Linked DNA regions of Nothobranchius furzeri. The protein of the gene in region 1 interacts with the protein of each later gene in a pairwise test. Links are inferred from orthologs where the notes say so. Each region holds a gene or a part of one and is shown in the gene's direction. Other genes may lie near its edges.

Region 1 (4,300 bases):
CTATCTTTATCTTCCAAGCACAGCTTCACAGCTTCCACCGCTCTTGGACTAGTGAATATCAAGCCACCGTGTTTCTCTGGTTGAAGAAGCTTATGAAATAAATACATTAAAATGATCAGTGGTTTACACGTGCAGCCATAGAAAGTTAGGTAAATGACACACTGGTTCAGATAATGTTATTTAATTTACCTTATCTGACAAGGTGTTTGCTGAGATAAACTTAAAAGACAACACTGGAATTAGGGTTGCTTTGTGCCCACGTGATTCCAGCTCCTGTAGAGTAAAAAGCATAGCAACAAAGCAGTGTGTGTTTAGTTAAAACCACGTCATTGATTTGGTTAAACTGTTTCTACCTTAATGTAAGGATCAGGTCCAGACTCTCCATCTCTGGGGTCTTTAAGAAGCAAAACACGCATCCTGTCAATGAATAAAAGACAGTTCAACGGAGCCAATAACACAAGGTGGGTTTTGACATCTGTTAGAAAGGTATCAGCTGCTTTCAGAAATTTAAAGTAGTTAAATCAGAGGGTGTGGAGACTTAAGTAGCTCAGCTACACCCAGAAACGGTCACATGCAACCTACAGATAGCAACACTGTTGAGTCACGATCCCTGAATAGGAAAGATTATACACTAAACTATTATAAACTAACAATAACGTCAACTTGTATCGTAAAATCCGCTTTAGCGTAGTTGGGCACGTCGGTCTGTTGTTGCGGTCTGTCTGTTGTTGTTGTTGCAAAACACACTGACAGATTAGCCACGATAACGTTCCAGTTTAACCAAAAATACGTCGATTTTCAGCTATAAACGTTAATAGTTTTTGTTTAACATTAATTGCGCAATTATATTTGCAACAATATGCGGTTGGAAAGACGAAATAACTGCATAACATCGACATATATACATGCATAAGAATGAACACCTTCAGCTGTTCATCGGACGACTTCATTGGCATTTAAAAATAAGATGTCCAAAAATTGCCTGTCGATAAATGTCTCCCCAAATCTATGTAAAATTAGAAAATGTTTTATATTTACATTTTAAACATTTAAATAGGTCATCTAATGCAAGTTAGTGTTTATGTCACATATTTTAGAGACATATTTTCTATTTTATTCCAATATATTATTTACAACGTTTTCCCCAGTGTTAGGAAATGGTTCAGTCGCGTGAGCCAACATGGAGTCGACGTCTGTTCGGATCTTCTCGGGTGTACGCCCATTCCACAGTCATTTTGAGCCAAAATGGCGCCCGAACGTGTCCAGTTTCCTGCTATCCGTTAACCTTAGCAGCGCCTACTTAAATATACACGGGTTTCACGCTTGATCATGGCCTCATCCGCTAAGAGGAGAGCAGTGGGTTTGGGTGAGAATCCCGAAGAAAGCGACAACAGCTCGGATGAGAGTCCGGAGGATGACGGCGAGTCTGGAGAGGACGACAGCGAGGCGTCAGAGGAGGAAATCGACGAGGTGGCTAATCCACAAAACCCACGTGGCCTTTCTACCCGCTAGCTAGCATGTCCGTGATGTTATCATGAAGACATAATCATTTTTGGTTTAAAATGCATATTTTTTTTCTTCTCTACTTGCAGGAGGTCGTGGTGGATTTTGAAGCCCATGCGATTTCAAACAACGACTTCAGTGGCATTAAGAAGCTTTTGCAGCAGGTGCAGAACTGTGTGTTGTTGTCACATAAGCGTCACGAATAGTTGTCACTAATCTTTACTAGTTTGGACTCAGCTGTTCCTGAAGGCGCGTGTAGACACAGCAGAGATGACGGACATCATCATCCAGCAGAATCATATTGGGAGCGTCATCAAAGTGAGTCGTTTTTTTCCAGTCCCAAACTTTGAGGCGCTGCATTTTATCCCCTGTTCTGATTACGTTCCTCCTTCATCTGGTTCTAGCAAGCTGAAGTTCCAGAGGACAGTGATGATGATGACCCGGATGAAGTCTTTGGATTTATTGCTATGCTCAACCTCACAGAGAGAAAGGTAGGTAATCTCTGAAGATGAGTAAAATACGTGAATTTTTAACTTAATTTTGAAGGTTGTGGCTTTTCTTTTTTTTTAGGGCGTGCGGTGTGTGGAGGACATCAAGGAGCTGATATTGGATCAGTGTGAGAAGAATGCTTCTCACAGTGTGACTGAACAGCTGGAGCAGATCTTAAATGACACAAGCAAACCTGTGGGACTTCTGCTGAGTGAGCGCTTTATCAATGTGCCTCCACAGATCGCCCTCCCTCTGCATACACAGCTCCAGTGAGTGCTTCTTTTGCTGCCCAGTCTAACCACTTACAGGCTCCTATCAACAAATAATCACCAGAGAGAATAAGAAGTTCCTCTGAAGAACAAAAAAGAAACAGCACTACAAGAACATTGTGCCATCCATCCATCCATTTTCATCCGCTTATCCGGAGTCAGGTCGCGGGGGCAGTAGCTTAAGGCGAGAGGCCCAGACTCCCCTCTCCACAGCCACTTGGGCCAGGTCTCCTCCGGGGGAATCCCAAGGCGTTCCCTGGCCAGGTGAGAGACATAGTCCCTCCACCGTGTCCTGGGTCTACCTTTAGGTCTCCTCCCGGTTGGACGTGCCCAGAAAACCTCACCAGGGAGGCGTCCAGGAGGCATCCTGGCCAGATGCCTGAGCCACCTCAACTGGCTCCTCTTGATGTGGAGGAGCAGTGGGTCTACTCCGAGCCCCTCCTGAATGACCAAGCTTCTCACCCTATCTCTACGGGAGAGCCCAGCCACTCTTCGGAGAAAACTCATTTCGGCCGCTTGTATCCGCGATCTCGTTCTTTCAGTCACTACCCAAAGCTCATGACCATAGGTGAGGGTAGGAACGTAGATCGACCGGTAAATCGAGAGCTTTGCCTTCTGACTCAGCTCTCTCTTCACCAGGACAGACCGGTACAACGCCCGCATCACTGCAGATGCAGCACCAATCCGCCTATCGATCTCATGCTCCAGTTTTCCCTCACTCATGAACAAGACCCCGAGATACTTAAACTTCTCCACTTGGGGCAGGACCTCATCCCTGACCTGGAGAAGGCATTCTACCCTTTTCCGAATCAAGACCATGGTCTCAGATTTAGAGGAGCTGATTCTCATCCCAGCTGCTTCACACTGCTGCGAACTGCTCCAGCGAAAGCTGAAGATCACGATCTGATGAAGCCAACAGGACCACGTCATCTGCAAAAAGCAGAGACCTGATCCTCAGGCCACCAAACGGATGCCCTCCACACCTTGGCTGCACCTAGAAATCCTGTCCATAAAGGTTATGAACAGAATCTGTGACAAAGGGCAGCCTTGGCGGAGTCCAACTCTCACTGGGAACGAGCCCGACTTACTGCCGGCAATGCAGACCAAGCTCTGACACCGGTCATACAGGGACCTAACAGCCCCTATCAGAGGGCCTGGTACCCCAGACTCCCGGAGTACCCCCCACAGGGCCCCCCAAGGGACACGGTCAAACGCCTTCTCCAAATCCACAAAACACATGTAGACTGGTTGGGCAAATTCCCACGCACCCTCCAGGATCCCCCTAAGGGTATAGAGCCGGTCCAGTGTTCCACAGTCAGGACGAAAACCACATTGCTCCTCCTGAATCTGAGGTTCAACAATCCAACGGACCCTCCTCTCCAGAACCCCTGAATAGAACTTACCAGGAAGCCTCAGGAGTGTGATCCCCCTGTAGTTGGAACACACCCTGCAGTCCCCCTTTTAAATAAGGGAACCACTACCCAGGTCTGCCAGTCCAGTGGGACTGTCCCCGATGTCCACGCGATATTGCAGAGCTGCGTCAGCCAACACAGCCCTACAACACGGTGCCAGAGACGGAAAAAAAGTAACTCTCAGAACTTAAAATAATATCCATCAACATTGACATTTGTCGTAATGATCATGTGCACATGTGGGTGAAACATTTATTCTCTACATAAAGGTGCAGTCAAGTAGAACATGACCTTACTTTTGACGGCAGATCTGAATGAATCTGTCATAAAATAGCTCCAGTCTCAGTAGGATGTGTTTATATATGAAAGCAGTTTATTCATGGATCGTCACAGACCCTAACATCTACAGGCTCTGCCAGATGAATTTTCATAGCTTTATTAATGCATTTGTTGAACCTGCTGAGATCTCTGGTGCTGATGCTGCTGCCCCAGAAAACTACAGCAAGCACATAGTTCAAAAATTACATGAAGTTAAATCTGTCCTTATGACGTTTCTCAGTGCAAGAAGAAAACAGCTTTTGCCTAAAATAAATGATTAAACACTAACCTTCTTTGGGATCTGTGGGG
Region 2 (3,906 bases), on another chromosome or scaffold:
TGATTTACTGCTTTAACATTTCCAGTTGCATCTTATACAGCATCATTTATTGTGAGAGCAGAATAAACATGACTTCTCGTTACCAGTAGCATGAGAAGATAAAGCAGGAGCAGGTTCAGCCTACAGGCCGCAGTCGTCGATTCTACGAGCCAACACAACAGCTTCTGCAGCATTTCCTCCAGACTAAATACAAACCATAAGCATTGCTGCTGACTATACCAACATGTATTTGTCCCAAACGGCACTGGACCCCTAAATTAGCTATACTTATATAGGGTTAGTTTCTCATGATTTCACGTGGTTTTTGGACTTCTGTTCTGTTTTCAGGCAGACTGGGAACACCGCCCCAGCTGTCTCACCGCTACAGCTAATAATCACTGCTTCAGTTGACACACCACATTACTTAATGATCAGATTTTTCATCACCAAACTATTGCTTTAGTCATTCACTCTGATCATTAAATGATATTGTGTTACCAGGAGTTATAATAGGTTTATTGTGGCTGGCTATCAGGGGATAATGTCTTCCCTCAGCTAACAGATGATGAAAACAACCCTGGTACTTTCATTCAGTCACTCCACGTGTCTCTAATTCATCAAAACTATAATTTCCTGCTTTGATTGGAAAAGGTATGTGTTGCATATTTTAGGTGTCTCTACTGCAGCCTCTAATAAACTAAACCCAGGCCTCGGGTCTGGGTTGTCATATTCGTCCTGTGCCGTCCTCCCTCCAAACACCAGTTATCACGTTTACTGCTGGAGCTCAGTGGGGCTGCTGGTCCATTTCCAGGACAACCCAACCATCCTGCTTGGTTTCTTTTCTTCCTCTATCGCTCTCAGCAGGGGCAGGCTGAAGAAAACTGTAATGAAACACTGACATCTAGTGGAAAATAGACCACTGCAAATGTTTGTTGAGAATCCAGCAACGACGCTCTGAAAAATGATAAAACGTTTGATTTACGACTTCCTTTAATATGTGTATTGAAGATTGTTTCTTCAAATAGTCTGTTAAACGTTAAAATGTCTGGATGGGTATTTTCCTTAGTTTTACCCCTAAGGAAATTTTAAAATTGTTGTCGTTATTATTAATGCCTCTCATCTCCACCAGTGTATGAATGTGTGTGTGAATGGATGAGTGATACACTGTAGTGTAAAGCGCTTTGGAGTCCTTACTCTGAGAGGTGCTATATAAGTGCAGGTCATTTTTCATTTATTATTATTATTATTATTATTATTATTATTATTATTATTATTATTATTATTATTATTTTATTGTTGTTGTTGTTTTATGACACTATATCCTAACGTGGGAGTCTCTAAACGTTTATTATATTGTAATTTTTATTGTGTTTAATTGTGAAGTAATGGATCTGAGAAAGATAATAAAAGTATTCTCTACTTTTAAACTAAATACGTTTTAAAAACAAAGTCACGCCCCCCAGGCTCATACGCACTGCTCCTCTACGTGACCCGGAAGTAGTTTCCTTCACCTTTATAAGGTCTACTTCCGTTTTTTGCCTTTCTCTTTCCCTGCCGCAGCCATGTCTAAGAGAGGTAGGTTTATCATCATATGAAATCCACCTTCATCTGCTGTTTTAGTTTTACCCAGAGTTCCTAATGATGCTCGTTTAGGACAGATTGATAATAAACCACACGTTTCTGTGGCTCGTTCGGAGTTTTTCTCACGCTTTAATGATCCGGAGATGATAGCATTGTTGCATTTCAGTTCTCGGAGCCATGTTTGCTTCAGGGCCGTGAAGGCGAGCTGGACTGCATTAGAGCTGCAGGTTGGAAATAGACGTTTGTGTCAAACTACGCGGCTGTTTATCGACAAGTAGAGAAAACAGGAGCTAGTTAACTACCGTAGACTAGCTAATAGCTAGCCGGTGTGAACTCGAGGTGGACGGAAGAGGAAGTGCTAGCTAAAGCTGGGCTACAGCCGAGGCTGTGTGGAGTTTCAAGCACCGGTGGAGCCTTGGACTGATTAGGGTCCTCTCGTTGCAGGACGTGGTGGTTCGTCTGGAGCGAAGTTTCGCATCTCACTGGGTCTCCCAGTGGGAGCAGTCATCAACTGTGCAGATAACACAGGTACGTCTTACCTGCCCTGTATAAAAGCTGGATTCAAGGCGCACCTCATGCCTGTTGGGTCACCTAACATCCAGCCTGGACTGGAGGAAGGGGCCTTCAGTCCCACACACACACCTACTTGTATTCTCAAAATTACACTAACACTTATTTTATTCAAGTGTGAAAGTGAAAACGGGCAAATATGTTATAAATTACTTGAGCTATTTAATGAACTGTGTAGTTGAGCGGGAGGGTCTGGGCATTTAGTTCCAGTAATCCTGTTTTCATGCTTGTTTTCCTTCTGACTCACAGGTGCTAAGAACCTGTACATAATCTCTGTGAAGGGCATCAAGGGTCGTCTGAACCGTCTCCCCGCTGCAGGAGTGGGGGACATGGTCATGGCCACAGTCAAAAAAGGCAAACCAGAGCTCAGGAAGAAGGGTGAGTGGTAACAGCTGCATTGGGTTTGATCTGTCCCCCGTTACACACAAAACGAGTGTGGTGCATGTAAGGGGGGTACTTCTCTTGGGAATGGACACGGCTGGATCAAGTTGAGTTTCGTTCAAAGAAATGTTTATGTGCCAGTTGTCCGTAAGTGCGACTACAGAGAAGCGATTAGTCTGCTTTTGGGGCACAGCTGCATGTTTCCACCTCGCAGTCACCTGTGATAACACCACTGCTCCTCTCCCAGTGCATCCTGCGGTGGTGATACGGCAGCGGAAGTCGTATCGGCGAAAAGATGGAGTGTTCCTCTACTTTGAAGACAACGCAGGTGTTATTGTGAACAACAAAGGAGAAATGAAAGGTGTGTTTTTAGTTTCAAGGCATTAGCTGCTGTTTCTGTGAGATGTAGACTGTCAGTGTCTTCGCACCACGGTAAATCTGTGTGTGGTTAAGAGTGCTGGTGGCGTGAAGCGCCCCCTTCCAAAAGCACTTGCTTGGTCTGCTCAGTGGCTGGGTGAGTTGTCGAGGAAGGGCAGAATGACTTCATCACTGTGGGTGAGACAGCAGAGACCTTCTGTGACTGACTGATCTCAATCAGGGATGAGACAAATGTTGCTCCACCAAACTCAAACCCATTTCTAGCCTTCTGCCTTTTCAGCCTGCTGCTTCATTTGGACCGCAGTAACGTCTCGTCTCTACCTGCAGGTTCAGCCATCACAGGCCCAGTGGCCAAGGAGTGTGCAGACCTGTGGCCCAGAATCGCTTCCAATGCCGGCAGCATAGCCTGAGACTGTGTTTACAATAAAAGCTGTTCATCAACCCAGTGGCCTGGCGACTTCATTTAACGTCACGTTGGGTGTGGCGCCCTGTGATGTGGATGTGGTGGTGCCGTAAGCATAATCGTACTGGAGACAAGGCTGGAGGAACCAACCGCAGCCTGCTTTAGTGTAGAGCAGGGCCATTACCAGGGGTGTCCAATCCTGGTCCTGGAGGGCCGGTATCCTGCATGTTTTAGTTTGAACTGTTTCAACACACCTGATTTTAATCAGCAGCTAATTAATAGGCTTCTGCAGAGCCTGATGAGCTGCTGCACAGGTGTTTCAACCACTGAATCAAGCCTGTTGGAGCAGAAAAACCACAAAACCTGCTGGATACCGGCCCTCCAGGACCAGGATTGGACACCCCTCCTCTAATCCAACACTAAATCCAGTGGTTGAATCACCTGCTGCTGGGGTCAGCTGTGTTGCAGCAGGGTTAAAACCAAAAGGTGCTGGATACCGGCCCTCTAGGCCCAGAATTTAATAGCCCAGTTGTAGAGCGATAACCTGGATGAGGTGTTGACATGCCTTCAAGTACCGCTCACACACAGGTAGCTGATCTGCATGCTCGCATGAC

The links.
Region 2: the proteins of bccip (region 1) and rpl23 interact in binary tests that used the Homo sapiens proteins (3 or more experiments, as listed by UniProt). The link is inferred for Nothobranchius furzeri from reciprocal best matches to the Homo sapiens genes BCCIP and RPL23.

Annotation. Positions count from the first base shown.
Region 1 is NC_091756.1:42,762,678-42,766,977, forward strand, and holds the start of bccip (protein BCCIP homolog), read left to right. Parts: upstream 1-1,329; coding exon 1,330-1,470; intron 1,471-1,592; coding exon 1,593-1,667; intron 1,668-1,740; coding exon 1,741-1,821; intron 1,822-1,907; coding exon 1,908-1,994; intron 1,995-2,073; coding exon 2,074-2,261; intron 2,262-4,300. Other genes in the region: uros (uroporphyrinogen-III synthase), read right to left, coding at 1-89, 190-273, 354-417, 1,135-1,223. UniProt on the Homo sapiens protein: During interphase, required for microtubule organizing and anchoring activities. During mitosis, required for the organization and stabilization of the spindle pole.
Region 2 is NC_091758.1:12,992,588-12,996,493, forward strand, and holds rpl23 (large ribosomal subunit protein uL14), read left to right. Parts: upstream 1-1,437; 5' UTR 1,438-1,541; coding exon 1,542-1,554; intron 1,555-2,004; coding exon 2,005-2,088; intron 2,089-2,379; coding exon 2,380-2,508; intron 2,509-2,758; coding exon 2,759-2,872; intron 2,873-3,216; coding exon 3,217-3,299; 3' UTR 3,300-3,330; downstream 3,331-3,906.